Linked DNA regions of Canis lupus familiaris. The protein of the gene in region 1 purifies or fractionates together with the protein of each later gene. This does not show direct contact. Links are inferred from orthologs where the notes say so. Each region holds a gene or a part of one and is shown in the gene's direction. Other genes may lie near its edges.

Region 1 (3,957 bases):
AAGGTCTCACACAATTTTTCTCTTTCCAAGTCTGGTGTAAGCCCTGGTGGTGTTTTCATGGATTTGTTGTTCCTGTTTATGACTAAGGCAAGGAAACAAATCGCAGTTCTTCCGGTTTGGCAGTGGAGTCCATACACTCCATTATGCTCCAATTTTCTTTCAAGAGAAAATACGAGATTCCAAATAAGCCAATACGAGATTTAGGAGTGATCTAGCCGAGTCATACCTCTGCAGGGTTAGAGAGCCACAAGGGGTTCCGGGTGCAGACATGAAGTACAGGTGCTTTGGCTGGGAACGACCAGTAAGAATCAATGGCCAAACGCCTCACACAAAGTCAAGTAGGACTGCAGTGTGCCCACGGCGCAAGGAGCGGGAAGAGGATGGAGATCAGGGAGAGGGGACCCCCACAGTTAGGTGGCCAACTGAGGAACAGGAAAGGTGTGTTAAGAGTATGTGAAACTGAAACCCTGCGCCTTAACCAAAGGGCATTCTAGCACGGATGGCGTTTGGGGCGGGCGGGCGGCGGCATCCCCGAGGCTCCAGGTGGGCAGGTTGAGGCAGGACGGGAGAATGCCTACGCGGCTGGGCCCTGGAGAGGACATTCGGGGAGCTCCCGGCTCCCTGTCGAATCCCGAGCATTTCCCGAATCGGAATCAGGGACCTAACGGCGCCTGGGCCCGGCTTTCCCAGCGAGGCTGCACGTCGGGCCTGGCTCGGAAGCGAGCCGAGACCCGCGACACTGCGGGGTCTCCGGTTTCGGCTGCAGGAGGCGGGGCGCCCGCCCTGGCCGCTCCCCGGGCGGAACGCTGCGGAAGACCCGCCGGCGCTGGAGCGGTGCGGCAGCGGGGAAGGCGGGGCGGGGCCGGGGCGGCAGGTCGCGGCCGAGGCGGAGGAAGCAGCCGCCGCCCCAGCCGAGGGAGCGCGGCCGGGGGCTTCCCGCGGGAGGAGACTAGTCTTTCGAGCGTTTCCACCCGGTTCGAGCACGTCGGCTCGGCCCCGCCCGGCCCCGCCCCGGCCACCGCCTCTTCCCCAGCCGACTCGGGGGCCGGCGGCAGGAAGGAGGAGGGAGGGACCTGCGCCAGCGCCTTTAAGAGGCGTGGCCACGTGCTCCGCCCCCACCTGCCCCTCGCGCGCCAGTAAGGGGCGGGGTGCGAGAGGAGGTGCCGGGCCGGGAGGGGGAGCGAGGCGTGCGCTGGTGCGCAGGCGCAGTGGCCGGACGACGGACCGTGTGTTTCCAAAATGGCGGCAGCGATGGATGTGGATACCCCGAGCGGCACCAACAGCGGCGCGGGCAAGAAGCGCTTTGAAGTGAAAAAGGTTGGGTCTCGCCAGCGCCTTCCTCAGAGAGGCTAGAGAGGCGCGGATCTGGCTGGCAGGCCCGAGGATGACCGAGGCGCGGAGGAAAGGGCTTCATTTCAGGGCGTTCCTGGGACCGGGTACCAGGAAAGGAAGCTGGGGGGCGGGTCTTAGAGTTGATCGGCGTGACTGGGGCCCACTACCAATGGCAGTATTGGTTTCACTAGGAGTCTGAGGGGCCAATCACAGAGGCGCTTGTTGAGATGCGCGGGGTTGAGACTTGGCTGAGGGAGCCAAGCGCCTGAGCTGTCACTGGAGTGGTGGAGGGGTGGGGAGGAGTGGGTGGGGTGGATGGAAGGGGGAGTCGGAGCGCTGCGGTGGGTGGAGGATGGGGGCAGTGCGGCGAAAGCCGGGACCTGAGTTCCTACCGCAGTGGAGGCCTTTGAGGAGCCCGGCTGGTGATCTCCTTGCCCCGCCCCTTCCCGAAGCTCGGGGTCCCTCTGACTCTGAGGGACCCCAGCCTGGTCCTCGCCTCCTCGAGGCCTCCCTCAGCCCTCTCTCTAGTCCTCGCCCCCGCCGAGTTAAAGTGTCTCCAGTGTAACAACTCTTGGCTCTTCTGAGAGGTCTGTTGGTTTGTCACACAGCCTCCACAGTCCTGTGCTCGTTTCCAGAATCCCTCTGTCCAAAAAGGAAAAGGGGGGGGGGGGGGGGAAAGCATGGTGGAATTTGTTAAAAAGAAAATGCGAGCCCAAACCTTGTGTCATTTAGGAAGGGTTGAGTACTAGTGGCGAACGACCTGGTGACTGTGGGAAAGCAAAAATGTGGAACGTGTCTTTTTGCATGAACTGCTTTATAGTGGTTTGCCAACAGTTTGGGAGGAAAGTGCCGATTCTCACATGATATAAAATAAATCTGTTCAAAATGAAGACTCAAATAGGGGAAATGTTATTCCTGGAACATCTGGCTAAACACTGACAATATTCCCCCCTCCTAGTGCTTTTTTGGTGTTTCATTGTGGGCACTGCATGCTCAGTTACAGCCAGCAGCCATATTGAAGAATAGAAATAGGGTTTTGTTGTGTTTTTTTTTTTTTTTCCCCCGTTCAAGTTGAAGCTGTCGGAAAGTGCTAAAGAAGTTTAACTAGACGGGGAATTGCGTTCGAAAGAGATGAAGGTTTTGGAAGTGGCACCAAATTGGTGGATGAAAAGGGAGTTTGGGGATATTTATAATTGCAGAAGCCAGAAAGGTTGAATTACTTAAATACCGCTTTTAAATGAACTCTTAAGTGGAATTATCTGAACTAAATAGGAGCCTGAGCTTGTAAAAGTTTAGAACACCAGTTTATTTGATGGAAGGAACTAACCAAAATTTTAGTGAATTCTAGAATTTGTTGTGAAATAATCTTGTGAGATTTAAGTGATGACCTTGCTCTGTACTGACACTGGATAATTAGTTATCCAGCTTATCCCACGATTACCCATTTTATGATCCAATCATCATCTTAGTTCATTCTGTCCCCAGCTTTCACCTCCCCACTCATACCTTCACAGCTGCCTTGAAGAGCGTATATTTACCTTTGCAGAAATTCAAATTTGTGCTTATTAAGCCTAAAACAGGCTCTCAAAAATTATTCCCGGTTTTCTTACATTGATACAGTTGACTAAATTATTGTAAGCTGTAGGAGAAAATAAAGAGGATTCATTAATTTATGTTCATATACTCAGCCTTTTGGAAAATGGGTGAGCACACTTGTAGTCTGCTGTTGCCCTCTGATAAAATGAATAAGAGTAAGGTAATATCCCCAAGCTCCTGTGTCTGGTGGTCCTTGTGGCCAAAGAGATGATAACTGTAGCTGCAGCATGAAATCCTAGAGTGTGTGTACGCCTGTGTTACAAGGAGAGTGCATTGTTCCCCCTTTTTCTCTTTGCAGTGGAATGCAGTAGCTCTCTGGGCCTGGGATATTGTGGTTGATAACTGTGCCATCTGCAGGAACCACATTATGGATCTTTGTAAGTAACTGGAGGTGGATGGGAGGAAGTTGAGAAGGTTACAGAGATTGTGGCTATTCTGATGTGACCAAATTTCTTCCCAAGGAGATATAAAGCATAGTCAGAACACTTGGTGTCTTCTGCCTCTAGTCCGTTGGTATGTTTGAAATAGAGTAGATTTAATGATATCCTGGAGACATACTCATCTCTCAGAATAAATCTACTCAGTCTAAAGATGGCAAGCACACATTTAGAATGAGTTGTGGACACAGAGGCACTGTTGATTATTCCTCTATATTTCCCATCTCATACCCAGACTCAAAGGCAAAAATAGTGAAAGGAAAAAAAAAAAATAAACTTTGAGCTAAAATATTCTACCAAAGCTAGTTTTTGCTTGGCAAGATTTATAAAGAAAAGAAGCCAAAGAAGTAAGGAATTTCAGTGTTAGCCCCTAAGTTAAGAGGACATCGGTGCCAGCATCTAAATAGACAACTAATTGCAGTAAAGAAGTTTCATTTAAATCTACAGATTCCATCCCATATAGTAGCCAGTATATGGTGGGTTTGATTATAGCTATCCGTGGACTCCGTGTCCTTATAGTAATAGGGGCAAGTATGTTGATCACACCAGGAACAGCTGAGGTTACTTTTTCTTCCAGGTACTGAAATGGTTT
Region 2 (3,500 bases), on another chromosome or scaffold:
AATTCTCACAGGCCACACGGGTTCTGTCCTGTGTCTCCAGTATGATGAGAGGGTGATCATAACGGGATCATCGGATTCTACGGTCAGGTAGAAAATTTCAAATGATCTTTTGAACTCTGGAATACCATATCTCCTCTGTTTTTTGTCATAGAAAGTTAGTAATTTTGTGTATAGCTGCCTGAACACAGTTCTGAAACTTCATAACTTAAGAAGAATAAACCATCAGCTCTCCACATCATTGTCCACCTAGAACTAGAAAACTTGATTTAGGAATGATTAAGGCAAGTTTACATTTTTTTCCCATTGAAGAAACTACATATTCTATTTTAATTTGGGGGAATCATCCATTATAGAAACTTGGTAAACCTTGCATTTGTTAGAAAAACCACCTCACAGGGAAATGATGTGAATGGAATAAAGCTTCCTTTTAGGTGGTTATAACTGTGGTATAGGCATGCATTATCTCCTTTGAAATGTGTACAGGTGAGCACTGCGCTCTCTTTGCCAGCACCTCCCATGTTATCCCTGCAGTTTTTAATTGCAAGCTTTATTCAGGGAGGGGCCCTCAATTTCCAGAGGCGTTAGTGACTTGATGACGCAGCCATTATGCTGCTGGAGTCCAGTGTAGCTTGAGTTCTGGGTACCAGCAGCACTGCTGGAACCCTCTGTTAGGAGTTTTGCCTTAAGCCAAAGGATTTAGCAAACATAATGCATCAAAAGTAACTTAAAAAAAAGAAAAAAGAAAAAAAGGCAGTTAACTGCATTGTTAGATTCTCTGAAGTTAAATGTTTACCATTCAAAATTATCCTCTGTGAATAGGAAAGGCTGCTCCTGTTTCTTATCTTTTGACTTAAAGGCATAGCAAACTCAGTTCTTAGAGTTATCGACATTTAACATTTATTGATGCTGTGGAGTGCCTCAAGGAAGCCAAAACATTGTAGAGACTAACATCATTTATAGGGTAAGGGACAAAATTATTTTCTAAAAATGGGGTTAAATTGAAAAAGGAAATGTGTTATGAAATCAAAGTAAAAATACAAAAATAGAGTAATCAAAGTAAAATATATCATTACACAAAATTCTCAAGCTATCCAAAGGTCCCACACTCTGCTGCTGGAAGCCCCCATTTACAATGGGATGGCTATTCTTGATCTTTACCCCCATTCAAGGCACAGAAATGGGGCCTTAGATTTAGAGTATAGCTCATCTTGGCGCTGACCTGTATGGTGAGACTGAAAACCCAGCATTATTAAGCTCGAATCCACAGTACTACGTCAGTCTGTTACAGAAGCTTCTTGGCCTATGTCAGTTCTATTTCCTGAGGGCTATTGATGGGACACTAATGCTACTGCTATTACTCAGATTCCTATTTTAAAATGTATCTCATTAAAGATAGCAGATTGAATGTCAAGTTTTATAATAACCTTGAAATCTGGGCCCAACTTATAGGTGATGGTGGTTACATCCTCATTCATAACCCTCATAACTCACACTCAGTAGTGTGTCTGAAGAATTTCACATTGGCAACATCCTATCCCTTCCTTTTCCTACTCTCCTAGTCCAGCCCTCTATCTATCAGTTCCGCATTGGCCATCAAAACTCTTCACCTCAGCTCAGCCTTAAAGTACACTCTGCTCTCTGGAAGGGTAGGGAATGTGGTGGTCAAATAGATTATAGCCAGGAACACCATCGAAACCTCAGATAACCTTCTAAATGTCTTTGTTCCAGGGTGTGGGATGTAAATACAGGTGAAATGCTAAACACGCTAATTCACCATTGTGAAGCAGTTCTGCACTTACGTTTCAATAATGGCATGATGGTGACCTGCTCTAAAGACCGTTCCATTGCTGTATGGGATATGGCCTCCCCAACTGACATTACCCTCCGGAGGGTACTAGTTGGACATCGAGCTGCTGTCAATGTTGTAGACTTTGATGACAAGTACATCGTTTCTGCATCTGGAGATAGGACTATAAAGGTAATGAGGCATTTTTCAGTAAGTCCCCAACTTAGAGTAAGGGAGTTCATGTAAAAATCTGGTCCAAAAAAAAAAAATCTGGTCCAAGGAAATTTCATATTAAATGTCAGTGTAGAGTAATTTAATATTTAATTCAGATACTAGTCTATGTGTAAAAAGGCAACAAGTGAGACAAGCTGTGTGAAAATTTTGGTTGGTGTCTATTCCTATAAATAATGGTGAGTTTAGAAGGGCAGGGGTAAATTTAGCTTTAAGAAAATTTGTCTGCCAACCAGACTAACCCCCTAAGAGTAAATTAATTTGAGGAATTCTCATGTGATAGCAGCCAGGTACAAATTAGCCCTATGTTATTGTGAATTAAACTTGTCCTTTTTTTCTTTTCTCTTTTTGATTTGGTTTGGTTTGGTTTGAGAAGTTGACTTACTGCTGTTGGCTCAGTGCTGTTTTCTGCTTCTCCAAGACTCCAGTTGCCATAGATCTTACTAGTAAAAGCATCAAATCTACTGCCAAATGCAATTTCTCTTTTAGGTATGGAACACAAGTACTTGTGAATTTGTAAGGACCTTAAATGGACACAAACGTGGCATTGCCTGTTTGCAGTACAGAGACAGACTGGTTGTGAGTGGCTCATCTGACAATACTATCAGGTGAGCAGCAAGTGCCTTTACCCAGAAGGGATCACTTTTACCCTGCCATTCATTGTTAGAGAGAGGAAACAAATTTTCAAGTGTATGATATTTATAACGTTTTTCTTTTCTTTTTTAAAGATTTTTATTTTCAAGTAATCTCTACCCCAGCATGGGACTCCAATTTAAAACTGTGAGATCAAGAGTCAAACACTAGCTGGGCATCCCAGGTGTTTTTCCTTTCTGTAGCTTCTTCTAGGTTAAAAGTTTGCCACAAAAAAATAAAGTTTGCCCCAAGCAGAAAGATAGCACAGCAAAGCCTTTTGTTGATGGGTTTCCTTTCTATAATAGTTTTATTACCTGTTTTAAAGGTAACGAGGAAGTGGACAAGAGTGATAAGTAGATGGAGGTTGAAGGCCTTCCTCTTTAAATTCCTCCTGTGTACAGTTAAAAAGTGCTAATAACTAGCCAAAGGCCTTTTCTCTCCACCAATATTCTTAAAAAAAGAAAGAAAGAAAAAAGATTTGTTTCCCTACTAGAAATTGTACACTGTTTTCTTCACATTACATAATTATCCAGGGAGTTTCTAGCCTTTGAAATTATGAAGAATCCACAGATTGAAGTACTTTTTGGTGTTTTCCCTTCACAAAGATGAATGAGAGATATGAATAGAATTTGGAAGATTTATCAATCCTTTCCCTTCCTTCAAAAAGTACTAAGAAGATAAAAAGGCTCCTTTAGAAAACAACAGAGCTACTGTTAGGTCTAAGGAAATTTTCATTTCATTTGGATTGGTCCAAAAGCATATAGTTTTAAGATTTTATTTTTTTAAAGTAATTTCTATACCCAACATGGGGCTCAAACTCAAGCCTGAGATTAATCAAGAGTTGTACGTT
Region 3 (3,500 bases), on another chromosome or scaffold:
ATAGAGGCTTAGAGCCAATCTGAGGCTTTGCCCAGATCTCAAAGCTAGGAAGTTGTGCTTCAAGCCTCAGGGCTGACTTTAAGGCTAAGGTTTCTCATCTGGGTCTGAAGCTGTGGTCCTCAGCTTTCTTCACATTCACCCCTGGAAATCTGAGCTTGGTTTCTGGCCTATTATAGAAGTGAAAATGAATTCAGTGGTATCATCCCAGTCCATATGGGAAGGAAGATTTCCATCCTGCACTTTCTTCCGCCTAAGATTTTCTCACCTGGAATTAAAAGTAACTCCTGAGTGAAAATAAATTTAAGTCAGTGTTAATTGGATAGCCGCGTTCCAGGGTGTCCTGTGTGAGACTCAGCCAACCTTAAGACCTCTTCACATAGATCCTATCTCCAAGTATAGTTGTACTTGAGCCTCCATGTTTATATGGCAGGAGATGATTTTGTGGTAAGAAGAAAGAGCTCAAATCTGTGCTAAATTTAGATTTAATTTAAACACTTGATTTTGGCAGTACTGGAGGAGTGAACAGAAAAGCCGGTATTGAATGATGAATTGGTGGTCTAACCCAGAACAGATCTTGTTCTCCTCCCTTTCTCACCCTGCTAGAAATCTTGTTAGGCTTGAGTAACTAAAAAGCCATGGTGTCACCACTTCACCCCAATAAGCTTCTCGTCCCTTAAAGACCAATTTCTACAGTTTGGGTGGTGGTTTCCCCAAACAGCCTGATGCTCCTTTTGGAGTTTTATTAGAAAAATGTGGAAGTACTATCTTTCTGTTTGTTCTTAAAACTACCATAGTGTTTATTATTTGGTCTCTACCTAAAGAACATTCTACACTAGCAATAATTATATGAATTCAGACAATTATTTAAGATGTGAGTTCCTCTATACAGGGTAAATCCTGCCTTGGCAATAAGGTGGTGTTCTGGCATAGACTAGAAGCTTTTTGAAGTAGTTTATAGCTCTTGGCGAATGGCACAACCACAGCCGATATGAGCCTCTTGGTCTGTCAATACTCCAACAGTAAAGTGAAATTAAATGGCTAGACTGAGGATGTTGATTTTAGGAAAATAAGAAATGAGTTTTAGAATACGAGAGAGAGGAAGGAAGCAGACACTGCTGGAGGCATGTGTTACTATACTTCTTATGTGTTATTTCTCCTCCTGGGTTAGGGGTTGCCATAGAATATGCTGTCACTGAAAAAGGCACCTCTTGGCCCATTAGTGCTGGGCCATTTTTGTCTTCCCCAGATAGGCTCCCTGAATCACAGTGGCGGTGTTCCCCAGTTTGTACTACTGGCTGAGAACGTCTGTCCTTTGTGATGAGTTCTTGGCTGGGGATGTGGGGCCGTGCTCACTCTTGGGCCGGAGGATTAGCATAGTCACCCGGATGTTTACGCTCTCCCAAGCTCCTTTGGACAGTCCTCAGGATTCAGGCTTTTGAACTCATTTGGCTTATTGTCAGGGCAGTGCTGTCCTTTTACACAGTGGTTTTCATAATTACACAGCATGGCACACCTTCTGCTTTTGTGCTCTCAGATTTTACTCGAGGTGAAAACCTGGTGTAAACTGTGCTCAGGAAAAATGTGCCACTTCGGGACATAGACAAGCAAATTATTCCTAAAGGGAACGCCTCATTCCCCTGCAGTTTAGAGAAAGTGTTGCAATAATGCAGTCAGGAGTACTGAAGTGGCATAAAAGTACTGGTGGCAGCCTTTCTACCCTCGATGACATTGAAGCCAGCAGAGGACATGTAACTCAGGTACTTTTAGTCTTTTAGCAACACAAATATCATTTTTGGTATTTGCACAAATGTTAAAATGTGAAGTGTGCTAATTTGGAACGGAGTGGATTTCATTCAATTTCTTGTAAAAAAAAAAAACTTAAAATTTTTTGAATAGTTATACCCTCATGGTTCAGAATTTAAAAGATATAGAAAGGTTTACAGGGAGAAATCTGTCTTCCACTCCATCAAAAAACTCTGTGCCCTTTTCAAAGGCAGCCGTTGTTAGCAGATTTATAGTTGCATAAGCCACATATATGTCTCATGGTACCTCTGGTCCCCCTGGCCCCCCTTCACACACATTAGCACACTGTGAATCATATCACTTTGCTTCCTTGCCTCCCGCACCCCCAAATTTATCTTGGAGATGATTCCATTTGTATCAGTTTATAAAGAATGCTTCATGCTTGTTTTCTGTGGCTGCATAGTATTCCAATAGATACACTGTTAATTAGTCTCTTAATAAGGCATGTTTAGGCTTTCCCAGTTTTAGTTAAGACAACATAGTGCCACAGTAAGTAACCATGTACACAGTTGTTTTGCATATGTGTGAATTTATCTGTAAATAAATTCCTAGGGCTGACTTGCTGGTTCAGAGCGCATATGCCTTTGACATTGTGGTAAGTTTTGCCAGTGTCTCTCTAGAGAGGCTGGACCAGTTTACATCCCACCAACCATAAGTGGGATCCACAAATGTGGTTGTCCCTTCCTCTAGTTCTAGATCAGTGTCCTAGCAGGCTAATTGATCTTTGCTGATATGACTGGTGAAAATGGTATTGCTGAATTTTTATTTCACATTCCTCTTTTTAGGAATATATCATGTTTCTTTTACAAAGAGCAACTTTTTTGTTAGTGTGAGAACTATGTTCTCATTTCCTGTGAACTGTGACCCTTTGCCTGTCTTTTTCTGTTAGGGTTGCTGGCCTTATTGATGTGTAGGAGAAATTGTATTTTTTACCAAGTCAGGAGGAACTATAGGTGAGATCTGATGGGCTACATAACTCTTATCCTTTCACAGGTTGACTACCTTGAAATAGTACCAGATACTGGAAGGTACCCTGTGGCAGTGGCCACGGCTGGAGATCTGGTATACCTGCTAAAGGCTGAAGACTCTGCCAGAACCCTCCATTATGTGTACGGCCAGCCAGTCACATGTCTGGATGTCTCAGCCAACCAGGCTGCTTTTGGTGTGAAGAGTCTAGGATGGGTATACGAAGGAAACAAGGTACAAAAATAGTAAGATGTATAAGTAACAAAAAAAGAACATTGATTTTTATTTTTTATAAGGCAATTAAAAAATTAAATCTCTCTGTTTATATTTTATAAGGTGTATTCAGGCACTATATATTCAGCATGGTGAAAAAGAGGAATCTCAAGCACTTCTAAAGGATATAAAATGAAAAGTAACTGTTTCCTTTCTCCTGCCTTCCCCCAGCCTCCCTCCACAGAAGAAACTATTAAACATTTTTTAGGTGTCCATCTAGAAAAATTTAACGCATTTATAGGTACATTTATACACTAAAAACTTATCTTTGTAGAAATGAGATCATAGTATACATACTGTCCTGTACTCAACATTTTTATTCAGTAATCTACCTTGGAGAGCATTCCCTGTCAGCACATACCATGCTCCTTCTCACTGGGATTCCGGTGTATGCTTACGACCCATAGTCTGTTTATTCAGCCCCCTTGCTGGTAGGCAGTTAGGTCGCTTTCACTATT
Region 4 (3,500 bases), about 26 Mb from region 1:
CTTGTTTCCAGAAGATATATATCGTAATCAATGTAACTTTTATTTAGCATGAGAAAGGACAAGGCGTAATAGAAGAGAATGAAGTTTATAGTAATACTCTGGCTGGGGTCTGGGTGACAACTGGCAGCACTCCAGTACTGAGAAGAAACAGGATACATAGTGGAAAGCAGGTAAAATTATTTTGGACTCTTATATGGGAAATACGTTGTTTTATGAACACTTTTTTGTCACTTGAAAACATTTTTTTTTAATTTTAGGTTGGTGTTTATTTTTATGACAATGGACATGGAGTGCTAGAGGACAATGATATCTATAATCATATGTATTCTGGGGTTCAGATAAGGTAAATGTTTTCACATTTGGCTTTCTTTTGGGAGGGAGTTGGGTGGTAATATGTGGGGTATGTAGAACTTTCCTTGTTATTTAATGCTCAGTCTTTATTCCTCCTTTTGTATATATATTCATGCTCTTACCACATGCTTGGCTTTGTCAGAATATAGTTGTTGTTTTTTTGAACCAGCTGAGGCAAGCAACCAGTGGCACATACACCTGCCGTAAGAGCACATTTCCACTGTTATATTATCCACTGTTAACAGTCATAGTTTCCAATGTACTCCACCATACTTGGAAAGTAGAAGGCTATATGAAAACACTTGTGAGCTATATGTGGCATGTTGTAGGCACTCAGTAAATGGGAGCTTCCGTTTTTACACTATTTCTGTAAAATTAATAGTTTTTTACACTATTTCCTATATTTTAACAGTTTTAGAAACTAGTAGTACTTATAATTCAGCCCTTCATTTTATATATTAGGGAAGTATACCATAATAGTAGTCACTTAATCAGGATGCCTGGATGACTCAGTGGTTGAGCTCTGCTTTCGGCTCAAGGCGTGATCCTGGAGTTCAAGGATTGAGTCCCACATCGGGCTCCCTGAGGGGAGCCTGTTTCTCCCCCTGCCTACGTCTCTGCCTCTCTCTCTGTGTCTCTCATGAATAAATAAAATCTTTATAGATTAAGTGACTACTATTTTTTTAATCTCCTCAGTTTAGTTTATGTATTAGGAGACTCTATAGTAATTAATCTATAGCTAAGTGTATTCTATGGGAAATAGAATTAAGCAAAATTAAACTAGTGTCTTTACTGACAAATTTCTCAGAGCATCTGGAAAGACTCCATTGTATAGTTCTTCTTACTATAATTAATATGAATTTTTTCACTGTTACCTCACATAACATGGGATATGGGAATAGAAGCAGTTAAGATGGCATTTTTTTCTATTATATCTATAGGACTGGAAGCAACCCCAAAATTAGACGCAACAAAATCTGGGGAGGACAGAATGGTGGAATTCTTGTTTATAATTCTGGTAGGTTTAATCTTTCATCCTTTTCTTATTGCTAATTGCCTTTAGAAATATACTTTCCAAATGACATAACCTCAATTCTTCCACTTGTAGGTCTAGGCTGTATAGAAGACAATGAAATATTTGACAATGCAATGGCTGGAGTCTGGATTAAGACAGATAGTAATCCTACACTAAGAAGAAATAAAATCCATGATGGAAGAGATGGTGGCATCTGTATATTTAATGGGGGTCGAGGTATTGTTGTTAATTTTGCATTAGTAAAAAATCCAATTTTTCATTATTCTTCCTCCATATCTCTAATGATCAGTGACATTGCCAATTAATGAATTATAATTGAGTGAATCTCAGTCTTTTTCCTTACCAAATCTTGAAATAGTTTATAAGATTAGTGCCTAGAGGTAAAGCAGAAAGAGATCTACACAATTTTTTTCTCTTTCTAGCCATCTTGAGTGTGCTAGTTGTTAGGCTTTTTAAAGGTAGAATTTGTTTATTCTCTTTTCTGGACCTTATTTAGAATAGTGATATAATAAACGTCAAGGTCCAGTTATAGAACTAGGATAGAAATTAATTGGCTTGTAAATAAATGAAAATGTCTGTAGTAAATAAGTATTGCTTTGTACCTGTTTACAACTGTTTGTTGGAGAATGGAATTAATGAAGACAAGGTGTGCCTGGTTTTGTGTACGTAAAGGTCAACTCATTTTGCATTGAGGCAAAGGTTCCACTGTCCCTGCCCCTTGCAAATGCACGTTGTTCATAGTGATTAGGGGAGAATGTCAAATGCAAATTTATCACCATTCCCATTCCTGAAATGTCAGCAACCCAGCACTGTACATATCTAATATGGAAGGATAGCTAGTTCTTACTACAAAATAATTCAAAATTTACTACAGCCAAGCAGTGATGATTCTATTAATGGCATAGACTCTGAAAGAGCTCATAACCTAGTAATTCAGTAAGGTGACAGATCTCCTAGGAGTCTTTACAGGATATAATGAACAAATGCAATACAGTGGATGGTTTTATTTGTAAGGTGTGAAGAAAAGGTTCATGGACTAAAATCACTCTTGAGCTATGTCTTGAAAAATGAGTATTCACTGGTAAATTGTGGGGTGGGGAGGCCATTCCAGATGTAGAAGGCATAATTCACACTTTCATTTGTACATATTAATTGAACACCTCTGTACCAACTGATACAGATGCTAAAAATGGTCAATAAAACTACATCCAGAAAGTTTATAGTCTAATGGCACATTGTAAACAGAAGTCTACAGGAAACAAAGTGGTTTAGTAAGGTGTACAGAGGTACTTAGAGTTGAGGCTAGAGAAGGGGCGGGGCCCAAATCCTAAGAGACTTTGTAGGCGAGTTCAGACTGGATCTTAGCAGAAGCAGATTAGAGGTAGGGACTTTGAAATGGTCTTTTCCAGTGGAAAGCAATTTAGAGGCCAAAACTGAAATACCACAGATGTATTCAATGTCCACAGAAATAATAGTTTCATGTCTTCAGAGAGCAGAGAAATGCTAGTACACAACTGATAGTTCAGTGGGTTTTATAGGAGTAATATTACTTTCACATGTGTACTGTCGCATGTATTAATTCATTTAATCCTCATTATAACCCTATATGTAGGTGCCATCATGCCCAGTTTAGATAAGGAAACTGAGACAAAGTAGGTAAATAATTTACCTACTCAGACCTAGAAGGTGGTGGAATCCATATTTGAAGACCTCAAGTCCGATTCCTCAGCTCACTTTTTAATCATTATATTGTTGTACTCTCAGAAGAGAGAATAAATTTGATGGAGGGTAACAAATCTTCCAGAGAAAATGACATTAGGAATAAAGAGGGCAGGACATTCCAGGATGAGGAAATAACACAAACCAAAGGCATTAGAGATAAAAACGTGTAGCATAATCAGAAGCATAGGTAACATAGTAAGACAACAGAATAGGTTAGGGGAACATTTTGAAAGGCTTTAAGTAGCAACTTAATTTTAAACTTTATTCTGAAAATGGTTTTTAAGTGGAGAAAGGAACATAAGAGTTGGAGGAAACGGAAAAATAGAAGAGAAACTGGAGTAAATTATCAAGTAATTATTGTAATAATAGTGGGATTAATCAGGGCTTGAAT
Region 5 (3,500 bases), on another chromosome or scaffold:
AATCAGACCTTTTACAATTTAGTATTGTTTCTGTTTTTAATTAAGACTTGGATGGGAGGGATGCAGAAGTAAGGTGGAATAGAGGTATCATCATCTTTTTAATACTTTGAGTTTCCAAAAGTTTTAATGTGATGCTGCATCTACCTTTCTCATGTATTTTTCTCACCCTGAGTGTGTGTATAGGGAGTCCAGAAGTCCAGATGAAAGTTGTGTTAATTTTTGGGATTCGGATACACTAGCTTTGAGCAGTAAATCTACATGATTGTTTTCTGCTAGGAAGTGTTAGGTTCAGATTTCTCTTGGAAAGGGGGCTGTTTTATCTTTCCTCCTCCCCACCTCCCGCAGCACAAAAGCCTCTTTTGAAATCCTAATGCAACTCCTTTGGGCTCTGTTGCTAAGATCAGATAGGGCTACTTATGCTTTGAAGCTAACTAAAAAGAAGCAAAGCACAGATGGTAGCATGTTGCTCAATAAATCTAAGGTATGATGCAATCTCTTGAGCTGAGTTATCTTCGTACAGCAAGCAGGCAAGGTTATTTAGGTTCAAGGGCCCAGACTGCACAGCAGGGATGTCTGTTTACAGTTTTAAAGTAATCAAAGTTAAAGAGGCGGCCAGGCCAGCCTGTCAAGACTTGTATTCTCCTCCAAAACATATTTGTGCTTCAGTCTTTGGAGTCGACTCATCTTCACCAGGCTTTAGTCCTATTTCCAGCCACCCAGTTATCTAAGTTTCTGGTTATTTCCTGCTTGCATTGGTGATATGGGACTTACCGGACTTTCTTGTTGTTTTCCCAGTTTCCTTTGGATGTGCTTTGTAGGAGTTCTTATTTTCCCATGTTCATTGCTCCACTGCTGTATTTGTGAGCAGGTAGTTATGGGGCATACCTGTGTTTTAGGCACTGGGATCTATGCTGGTAACCTGCAGAAATACCACACTGGTGGAAGTTACTAACCAGCAAGAGGCAAGACTGACGTTAAATAGCTAATTGCCTACAGTTGTTTTCATGGGTGGGTTAAAGGCCACACTGTGGAGCATTTGGAGACCCCACCTAGCAGTTGAGGAGTAAGGAAAAGCTTCCTTGAAGAAGAGGTGTGGGCTAAGCCCTGAAGGAGGAGTATCTGCATTAACTAAATGCCAGCAGTGGGTGTGCAGTAAGGAGCAGTGGAGGCTGAGAGACCAGTCCGTTCAAAGGCCCGGAGACTGAAGGGTCCCAGTGCTGGAGATGTGAAGTGCAGTAGAGAGCCCTCAGAGGGTTTAAAGTTAAATGAGGTGGTAATAGGATTAGACATGGGGGTGAGATTAGCTGATTGAAAGGGGCCAAGAGTAGGTGGGGGGAGACCAGTGCAGGCTGAAGATACTATCTTGGATCAGAGCCGTGGCAATTTGGATAATAGTAAAAAAAAAGTAGGAGAAAATTCAAGAGGTAAAATCAATAGATTGTGGTGATTGAATCTGCGGCTTGATTAAGGAGGAGAGTTGGATGGTTGCCATGTTTCCTAACGGTGAGCAGTTGGGTGAAAGAGCAAGCCAGGAAACAAGGAAGAGAAACAGGTTTGGCCAGCAAGTTCAGTTAAGGACGGGTTGAGTGTGGAACAGGTCTTCAGGACTAAATCCTCTGCCTTCCACTGTCAGGTGGAATCTGGCTTGCTGTAACTCTTTCACCTCGGATTCCCCGCCCCCAGCTGATCTCCTTTACCTGTTCCTTATTTGTCCTGGTTACCAGGCCCTGCCCTTCCTGGTTGACCTCTTGGACACACACTAATTGGTAGTGTCCTTGTTGAAATGTGGGTTTATTGACCTCTCACAGGGCTCAGACATACTGTCACGGAGCAGAATTGGTTTATCCTTCTCTTGTAGCTCTTTTCCTAGTGCCTCCAAAGAGGACATCAACTGTTCTTGCCTCATTAAGTGTGCAGACAACAGACTGTGTTTTTTTGTTTTTGTTTTTTATCTATGCTGTTTGGCTGGATCTCTCCCATTCTGTGCTTTTGTCATCAGCCTTTGGGGAAGGTGAAGGCTATCCTCCCACGCCCCCAGTTTTCTCTCACAACTTCTGACACATTTATTATTGTTTCTGGGTTATTTTCTGGTTATTTCTCATCCTTCAGCCTCTACTGTTTTTAGAGTTTGCTACCTGCTGAATAGAATAGCATGTAAATCACTTGGTTTCTAGTCTTCATTCTGGGCTTGAGGAGGCTCCCCTAGACCAGCATTTTAGGATTTGATGAATCCATCTTTTTACCTAGTAGTAAAGTGATTGCATCCCAGTTCTTACAGGTAACTGACCAGTCGTGAATCCTTAGCCAAAGTATGTATCCCAGCAAGGCTTTTGTTTTCATATTTTGGAAATGAGATATTACATGAGATAATCTATAAGATCCTTTTCAGCCCGGGTAGGCATTTTGTGCTTTCATAAATGTCCATCATATGCTGCCTTTCTCCTTACGTGCCTGTGTTACCATGTCAATGTGAAGGGTTCCTTCCCCTCCCCTTAAGGAAGTACAGCTTTTTGTCTGTTTCATTTTATTGAAAACTTTCATTGTCTTGGATTTTGTATTGGTTTTTATATGTCTCCAGAAAAGATTGCGGTAGTGGAATCAGAAGTAAGGCGGCCTTCTGGTTCATGTTTCGAAACTCTCGTCTTTGTAGGGTCATCAAGACTCCTGAGATAGCAAACTTGGCCTTGCTTGGCTTTGGAGATATCTTTGCCCTGCTGTTTGACAACCGCTACCTGTACATCATGGACTTGCGGACCGAGAGCCTGATTAGCCGCTGGCCCCTGCCAGAGTACCGGAAATCAAAGAGAGGCTCGAGCTTCCTGGCGGGCGAAGCGTCCTGGCTCAATGGACTGGATGGGCACAATGACACGGGCCTGGTCTTCGCCACCAGCATGCCCGACCACAGTATTCATCTGGTGTTGTGGAAGGAGCACGGCTGACGCCACGCGCTGGCCGCCGCCGACTGTGGGTGCCGGGGCTGCGGGGTTTCAGTGCGACCTCTGGCAGCCGACTGCATGAACCAAAGCTCTCACCTAACGGTATCGTCGCGCAGTGCACAATCATTTATCTGTGTTTGCCAGGGGGCCAGGGCTCGGGGCGGGGGAGGGCTTGTTTTCTTGACACACAGCACAGCATGCTAACGGGGTACACCATTGACTTCATTTGTACTTAGTTACGTTGGTCAGTATAAGAGGGTGCATTGAGGGTTCATCTTTCTTGAATATTGGTTTTCAGTAAAGAAAGTTAAATGGTTCATTAACCTGCTAATTGGTTGCCTATATATAAAAACACATCAGTCTATTATTAAAGCTTTTACCATCGCCTTTTTTTCTTTTGAAGTTGAAGCAAAGGTGCTATGATGTTCCAGCAACTTCTCTCACATGGGGCTTAGCTTTTATAACAGTCAGTGTTACAAAGACCACTGAGTCCCGTGACATTCATAAACTCTCCACCAAATACCAGTTCTAAAGAAGGTCTGTCTTCCAGGACAAAGCAAGTTC
Region 6 (3,500 bases), on another chromosome or scaffold:
TAGTCATTTTTCCATTGTCCTGGCTTTTTTTCTAACCAAATTGTTTAATGTTTGGGCAAAATAAAGATTGGTTTAAAAAAAAAAGAAGGAAGGAGGGAATGAAACCACAATGATAGAGCCGAAACTGCTGTGAGTTTTATCGTTTTAAGTTTTTAAGGTATTATGAAAGTACCATGAGAACCTGAGTCTTGATGCTTTCTATTACTTAACTATTTCAGCAGTAGACAGTCCTTAACTTTCTCACTGGACTCTCTGAGGTTTTACAAAGTGATAATGTGTATTCCTTTACAGTTTATAGAGGGGACCACTTTGGAGTCAGTGGTAGTGCTAAATGACACTGTTCACAGTAGATTAGAGAAGCCAGTGTCCCTGACACTGATGAGAAGATTTGCTGAGGGTGGCTGTCATAAAATATTCATGGGGCGGATGGTAAGAGCTACTTGTAGAGAGGCTAAGAAAAGGTTGTTACAGAATTAGTTTGCTAACTTTGTTTTGTACGTGCTTATGATTTCTTTTTGCAAACAATGTAGGAAAACCAATGATAGAAAAATGTGAAAATTTCAGTTTCACATATAAATCATACACCAAGAAAAAGTCTGGATATTGTGTGGGTTTATATTTCTGAGATGCTTCATATACCTAATAAGAGGCTCCCACTATGACCTCATAAACTGGACAACCCTAATATGCAGTATCATCTAAGAGGGGGTGTCCCTAAGCCTCATCAGGAGAGGGAAACCTCCATGCTCATGAACTGGTTCTTTTTTTTTTAAAGATTTTATTTATTTATTCATGAGGGACACAGAGAGGCAGAGACATAGGCAGAGGGAGAAGGTGGCTCCCCATGGGGAGCCCGATGTGGGACTTGATCGCAGGACCCCAGGATCATGACCTGAGCCAAAGGCAGATGCTCAACCACTGAGCCACCCAGGTGCCCCTCGTGTACTGGTTCTAACTTTAGCAGGCCTCATGGATTCCAGGCCAGAAGTGCCTGGCCTGGAAGCCTAACACCCCTGGCTGTACATACTATATCCTCTCCTCAACCCACACACATGCCTTTTCTTTCTCTTTACTGCCTGCAATCCCTGTCTCCCCCAGGAAAGTCCTTGTTATACCATTTAGCTACGTGGTTTCATCAATTCAGACATTAAAAGAATGCCGAATAAAAATTAAAAGAATAGTAATACATGCATGTGATTAAAAAACTGAATAAAAGGAAATATAATGAGAAGGCTTCTACCCAATTTAGTCTCTTTAAAAAAAAAAAAATGTTTTTATTTATTTAAGTATTCTCTACACCTAACATGGGGCTCGAACTCATGACCCTGAGATCAAGAGTCACATGCTCTTCTGACTCAGCTAGCCCTGTGTCCGCCAAATTAGTGCTTTAAAATATACAAATGATCTAAATATACATATGTATCTTTCTACGTGTATAATGTGGACTGGGAGTGAAGATAGAAACAAGTTCAGGAGAGTGAAAATCATGAATGGGACAGACATGAAGAACTCAAGGATAGTGTGAATCATGTGTGGGAAGTTGTTTCACAGAGATCTGTTTTACTTTCAAGGCTATGGGATATTGAATGTGGTGCCTGTTTAAGAGTCCTAGAGGGACATGAAGAATTGGTCCGATGCATCCGGTTTGATAACAAGAGGATTGTCAGTGGGGCCTATGATGGGTATGTATTTCAAATTTTTAAATACACTACTATCACTGTATCTAGAGGAAAAACAAGCGCTGTATATTAAGCAACTATGTATGTGCCAATTCTGTGCTAGATCTGTGTAATGGATGGCAGATGTTATTATACCACTTGATCAGGTGAAGCCGCTCAGGCCCAGAAGGATGAGTGGTCTTGCCCCAAGTCTTACAGTAGGATAGCTTCTGTAACTCCTATGCTTACACTTTTAACCATTAGTGTAACCATTATTGTAAACTTTGTAAGTAGCTTAGGTTGTACAGGAATTCCATTCTTTGCCTCAGTCCTAAATTAAGTTAGCTGTGTGTGCGTGCGTGTGTGTGTGTGTGTGTGTGTGTGTTCAGTGGTCCATTTCCTTTACCCTTTGGTTAAACACTCTTTTTTAAAAAAGCCTCAGGACTTTTTAAATGAGCAAATGGCAACTGTAAACCTTTCAAGGTGACTTTATGTATACTTCACAAATGGACTAGTTGGTCTGTTTATACTCCTTTGCTTAGTTCGAAGAAAGGTATCCTTGGAATTTCACAGAGAGTCCTAGCTTCTGTCAGCAGCACCTACTCAGCTCCAGAAAGCCCTCTGATTAATGAATTTGGTGACATAGATTATCAGGTCAGGAACTGAATTTAGATAGCCTGAAGTTGTTTTCTCATCTCCCTTAAAAAATATTTCTTCACAGTTTCAATAATTCCGAGAATGTGTAGGTCCTTATTTTTTTTTTCAAAATCAAGTGTAAATGGTTTAAATGACTTGTTACGACATAAGCAGTCTCCATTAGCTTTTCTTTTTTTTTTTTTTTTTTTTTTTTTTTTTAATTTTTATTTATTTATGATAGTCACAGAGAGAGAGAGAGAGGCAGAGACACAGGCAGAGGGAGAAGCAGGCTCCATGCACCGGGAGCCCGATGTGGGATTCGATCCCGGGTCTTCAGGATCGCGCCCTGGGCCAAAGGCAGGCGCCAAACCGCTGCGCCACCCAGGGATCCCTCCATTAGCTTTTCTAATAGCAGTTCAGATGTACTTTTTTCTATCAAGGAAGTTCCTGACGGTATATGAAATGTTGTTAACTTTTCTACTAATCGCAATCTCCATTTATTTTCTAGGAAAATTAAAGTTTGGGACTTGCAAGCTGCTCTTGACCCTCGAGCCCCAGCAAGCACTTTGTGTTTGCGCACATTGGTGGTATGTAATCTGTTGAAATGGGAGTGGTTCCTGCCCTGGAAGATGATACCTGCAGATAGACCTGCCTAGGTGTATCACAAGAAAGCTTGTGTATCTCATCACAGTGTGCCTTCAGAGAAATGCGCTGTTTTGTTCATTTTGTTTAGCCAAAAGCAGAGAATAACTGACATTTACATTACAGGGAGCTCTTTCCCAAGGAGCATTAATACAACTTAATATGTGAAAGCAGGCATCCTCATTTGTAGGTGGATTGGTTTCCTCTAGAGTACAAAGTATTTCCTGTAGATTTGGGAGATTTCTTAATATGGGTATCTGGTTACGTTATATTTTTATAATATAGCACATGTTTGTATTATGATGGAATTTCCCCTTAATCTATATTGTATGGATTATTGCTTTGGCATATAAAAATACCTTATTTTTATGTGTTAATCTTGTTTTAGCAACTTTGGCAGGCTCATTATTTCTAATAGTCTGGTTGCTTTTGTTACATTAATGAGGAGACAGTTGTTTGAAAATATTGATAGACTTGTTCTTATTTTCAGTAGCTTTACCTTTTATTTCTATTTTTTTGCTTCTTGCACTGATTAGAACATGCAGTACTGTGATTAGGACTATT
Region 7 (3,500 bases), on another chromosome or scaffold:
GGGGCAGAGGATTTTTGTGCTGTGACTCAACCACGTTAACTGAAGCACCCTGGCTACGGTGTGGAGGAGAGACTATAGAAGCTTCCAGCGTTGGAAGCTGGAAGCTCATTTAGTATGCTGTTATAATATAGACAAAAGATGGTGGCAGCTTAAATGAGTTAGTGAGAAGTGTTCACATGTCCAGTGGACTCTGAAGATAGAACGAGTAGCACTGGTGGACGGAGTGAGTGTGGCCTCTGAGAGCAAGCCAGCAAGGAGGCAAGAACGCCAAGGCTTTCGGCCTGATGGCAGTGGCAGAGTTGCCTTTCCCTGAGGGGGATGACTGGGAGGGGAAGCCCTCCTAAGGAATTCACCAGATAGCCAAGTTGGAGTGTGGAGTAGCAGTTGGATATACAGGTTTGGAGTTTAGAGGAGCAATGAGTACTGGAAAATAAATTGAGGGCTGTCAGTGGAGAGAATATTTGAAATCATGAGACGGGATGAGATCACCATGGCAGTGAGCGTAGAAGGAGAAAAGCAGGAGGCCAAGGCCTGAGTTTCCTAAAGCAGGTGCCCACGGGCCAGCAAAGGATTCCAGACACTTCACCTCTGGTTTCTGAGCTTCAGCCAGCTACCCCAGCTCTTCAGTTTTCTCTTGGATTTCTTTTTAGTAAATCTGAAGCCAAACAGGTCAGTGTTCCTTGGATTTCAGCACGAATGACTTACTGTTACTTATAAATGCAAAGTCTTGAATTGTGCTGTCTGCTTCTGGGATAAAAAGTACTATGTGGACGCGAACGACTTACATTTTTCTTGTTAAGTAGGCTCTTTGCATCCTAGGAGTAGCTCAAAGTAAAAAATAAGGTAGTCAAAGGCTTTAGTATCTTAATGCTCATTGATGTGTTTGTTTGTTTTCCAGAAAAGCTTTGACCTGGAAATACTATGCTAAAAAAATTCTTTACTACCTACGCCAACAGAAAATTTTAAATAACCTTAAGGCATTTCTTCAGCAGCCTGATGACTATGAATCGTATCTTGAAGGTGAGACTCTACAAGTGATCTTTCGACAGGCAGCTAAGTTGTTCCTCAGAGGAGGGAGATCATCCCTGAAGGTGGAACAGTGGAAAAGTGGGTTTCTGATCATTTAGGCAGGCAAAACTGTTAAACTTTAGAGCTAAGATTTTGCCAGAATGTTTGGCTGTCAGCTGAAGAGATAGTGTTTTGGAAGGATGCACCATTGGTTCAAAGCACAAGGTTAGTAAGTTAGCTAATGAGGTTGAATTCTCTTTTTCCAAGCTTTGAAGCGTCATTTCCAAGTCAAATAAATTTGTCCAGTTTTGTCTCCGTGTGACCTTCAGCAAATCCCTTTACCTCTCCTGGTCGGAGTTTAATGAGGCCGAGGTGTTCTTGCATGTTAGTAAGTTGGCTTGTTCATAATGAGAAGTGAGAAAGAAGTCGAGTGGACAGAAATGAGGGGAATAACTTTGTTCCTGCTAAGTCAGACAAAAACAAATGTGACTTCATTTTTTTAAACGAATTTAAATTCCTAGCATATTACATAAGCACTGCCATAAATTGTGGTTGTGAAGTACGGCTATGACCATTCCTTCATTTTCATTCCCTGGCCCCTCTGACTTACCAGTTCATCAGTTTTCTTCCTTTCCAGTGTTTGCATGTCCCCATTCTGTTTCTGTGGTCAGGCAGGTTGTCACCCCTACTTCCGGCAGCCACTTTCGAAGTGGCACTTCAATCTCAGCCTCAGGGCTGCTGACACCTAGCATCAGTTCAGCCTGAAACTTGGCCTTTTCACCACTCTGGCCAACTAATGTCCTGGGTTTTTTTGTTTTTTTTTGTTTTTTGTTTTTTAATTAACCTGCTGTTCAGTGCCTTGCATAATCTGGACTTTCCCTGAACCCCAGACCTTTCCCCATTACTCTCTAAAACACCCTCTTTGCTCCAGCCAGGTCATTATCTTCCCTCCTGGCTTCATATCTTCAATAGTGGTATCCCCGTTTTCTTAGAATTCCCTCTTAAATCTTACTTGGCCATGAAAGTTCGGTTCAAATTTAACTTCCATTGGGTTTTTGCTGACTACTGCAACACTTGCAGGTTTTAACTCACCTCAGAAGGCATACATGCAATAGCATTGACTAGTAAACCACTGTATAGTGTCCCGTTTCAGGTGTGTGCATTTTGTTCTCCAGCATTAACATTTAACATTTCTTGTGTCCCTTGTCCCTACATTATTATGATCACTGTGTTCTCCACAGTGTCTGGTGTAGACTCTTCTTGAGTGTGTAAAAGTGTCCTCATCCAAAAAGAAGTGAAAACTCTGTTTCAGTTGATCAAAATCAAACAGCCTCACCACCCTGGTGGGATATTCTATGGGTACTGGAGTGGAGAGTCAGCCTATCTTCTGTTCAATAATTTGACAGGCTTCGTTTTCTGTAGTTTATTTATGAAGACAATCATTTCTTTTTCACATTCCAAATATTAAGTAATAATATGGTTTTCAATAACTCCTGCAAATCAGTGTTGTGGGCACTGGGTAGCCATTGGAAGTTTTTAAGTAGTTGAGCAAGTGGAAGTCAGCTCTAGGGTTTTGATCCTTGGTGACTGACAAGAATAATCTAATAGCATTAACAAAGTCTAGGAATCAGAGCATTAGGATGGAATGCACTTTGGGGAAGTCCTTCAGCCAACAAATGAGGAAACTCCATCCCAGGAAAGCGTAGGAGCCATTCCCTAGCTAGGGGTAAAACTGAGGCTGGGGTCTAGTCTAAATCCCTTGATGCCTGCTTCCAACTCCTTGCAGTGTGAGTAGGGAGTCAAGATCCTGACCTCTTGAATTTAAAATGACTCAAAAAAAAAAAAAAAAAAAAAGTCATATACAGCTTCCCAAGTGAAAATGTCTTCTAACCAAATGACCAAGTTAGCCCTTTGGCATTTGGTTAGAAAACGGCCTAAGACAGTAAAGAGCTGAGCAGGAGTTTTCCAGAGACCCTGTCTCCAATGTACCTTGTACACGTCTTTGCTGCTGGTTCCCTGAGTGTCACTGTTTCTCTAATTCAAAAGTACAATTATCTCCAGAGTTCACTTACTTGTTAACCCTTGATGGGTATAATTTGTAGAAATCTCTCATTGAGGGCGTTCAGTCTTTTTTTTTTTTTTTTTTTTTTAAGTAAAGGAACTGTCTTAGCCATTATGTTTTCAGTTATTGGAAAGATGTCCTTTATGGCATTTATTTCTCTTTGTAATAGAATAGGGAACATGCTGGTTTTTTTGAGTCCATGACCTTTGAGATAGGGTTTGGTTTATTTAAAAAAAAAAAAAAAAAAAGTTTGTAAACTTGTTTGTGATTAGAGTGTTGCTCTTCTCTGTGTAATAGCAGCAATATCTGCCATCCACGAATGAATTTTATCTGGTAGGATGGTACAAAGAACTTTAGCCCCAGATGCCCGGGCTAAGTGACAAACTGATAAGAAAAGAGTAAAAATAGGAACTTTTTCAATAATTCCTAT

What was found.
Region 2: the proteins of RBX1 (region 1) and BTRC purify together in Homo sapiens (affinity purification with western blotting; 5 studies listed by BioGRID and IntAct, with this or other methods). This does not show direct contact. The link is inferred for Canis lupus familiaris from reciprocal best matches to the Homo sapiens genes RBX1 and BTRC.
Region 3: the proteins of RBX1 (region 1) and FBXW8 purify together in Homo sapiens (affinity purification with western blotting; 6 studies listed by BioGRID and IntAct, with this or other methods). This does not show direct contact. The link is inferred for Canis lupus familiaris from reciprocal best matches to the Homo sapiens genes RBX1 and FBXW8.
Region 4: the proteins of RBX1 (region 1) and FBXO11 purify together in Homo sapiens (co-immunoprecipitation; 4 studies listed by BioGRID and IntAct, with this or other methods). This does not show direct contact. The link is inferred for Canis lupus familiaris from reciprocal best matches to the Homo sapiens genes RBX1 and FBXO11.
Region 5: the proteins of RBX1 (region 1) and FBXW2 purify together in Homo sapiens (affinity purification with western blotting; 3 studies listed by BioGRID and IntAct, with this or other methods). This does not show direct contact. The link is inferred for Canis lupus familiaris from reciprocal best matches to the Homo sapiens genes RBX1 and FBXW2.
Region 6: the proteins of RBX1 (region 1) and FBXW11 purify together in Homo sapiens (affinity purification with western blotting; 4 studies listed by BioGRID, with this or other methods). This does not show direct contact. The link is inferred for Canis lupus familiaris from reciprocal best matches to the Homo sapiens genes RBX1 and FBXW11.
Region 7: the proteins of RBX1 (region 1) and FBXO21 purify together in Homo sapiens (affinity purification with mass spectrometry; 3 studies listed by BioGRID and IntAct, with this or other methods). This does not show direct contact. The link is inferred for Canis lupus familiaris from reciprocal best matches to the Homo sapiens genes RBX1 and FBXO21.

Annotation. Positions count from the first base shown.
Region 1 is NC_049231.1:25,236,048-25,240,004, reverse strand, and holds the start of RBX1 (E3 ubiquitin-protein ligase RBX1), read left to right. Parts: upstream 1-1,157; 5' UTR 1,158-1,239; coding exon 1,240-1,317; intron 1,318-3,226; coding exon 3,227-3,305; intron 3,306-3,957. UniProt on the Homo sapiens protein: E3 ubiquitin ligase component of multiple cullin-RING-based E3 ubiquitin-protein ligase (CRLs) complexes which mediate the ubiquitination and subsequent proteasomal degradation of target proteins, including proteins involved in cell cycle progression, signal transduction, transcription and transcription-coupled nucleotide excision repair.
Region 2 is NC_049249.1:14,339,408-14,342,907, forward strand, and holds part of BTRC (F-box/WD repeat-containing protein 1A), read left to right. Parts: coding exon 1-87; intron 88-1,728; coding exon 1,729-1,978; intron 1,979-2,506; coding exon 2,507-2,625; intron 2,626-3,500. UniProt on the Homo sapiens protein: Substrate recognition component of a SCF (SKP1-CUL1-F-box protein) E3 ubiquitin-protein ligase complex which mediates the ubiquitination and subsequent proteasomal degradation of target proteins. Recognizes and binds to phosphorylated target proteins.
Region 3 is NC_049247.1:13,931,001-13,934,500, forward strand, and holds part of FBXW8 (F-box/WD repeat-containing protein 8), read left to right. Parts: intron 1-2,796; coding exon 2,797-3,003; intron 3,004-3,500. UniProt on the Homo sapiens protein: Substrate-recognition component of the Cul7-RING(FBXW8) ubiquitin ligase complex, which mediates the ubiquitination and subsequent proteasomal degradation of target proteins.
Region 4 is NC_049231.1:50,897,462-50,900,961, reverse strand, and holds part of FBXO11 (F-box only protein 11), read left to right. Parts: intron 1-47; coding exon 48-170; intron 171-257; coding exon 258-343; intron 344-1,292; coding exon 1,293-1,369; intron 1,370-1,459; coding exon 1,460-1,603; intron 1,604-3,500. UniProt on the Homo sapiens protein: Substrate recognition component of a SCF (SKP1-CUL1-F-box protein) E3 ubiquitin-protein ligase complex which mediates the ubiquitination and subsequent proteasomal degradation of target proteins, such as DTL/CDT2, BCL6, SNAI1 and PRDM1/BLIMP1.
Region 5 is NC_049232.1:74,240,788-74,244,287, reverse strand, and holds the end of FBXW2 (F-box/WD repeat-containing protein 2), read left to right. Parts: intron 1-2,650; coding exon 2,651-2,939; 3' UTR 2,940-3,325; downstream 3,326-3,500. UniProt on the Homo sapiens protein: Substrate-recognition component of the SCF (SKP1-CUL1-F-box protein)-type E3 ubiquitin ligase complex.
Region 6 is NC_049225.1:41,241,322-41,244,821, forward strand, and holds part of FBXW11 (F-box/WD repeat-containing protein 11), read left to right. Parts: intron 1-1,571; coding exon 1,572-1,682; intron 1,683-2,802; coding exon 2,803-2,881; intron 2,882-3,500.
Region 7 is NC_049247.1:14,090,847-14,094,346, reverse strand, and holds part of FBXO21 (F-box only protein 21), read left to right. Parts: intron 1-898; coding exon 899-1,020; intron 1,021-3,500. UniProt on the Homo sapiens protein: Substrate-recognition component of the SCF (SKP1-CUL1-F-box protein)-type E3 ubiquitin ligase complex.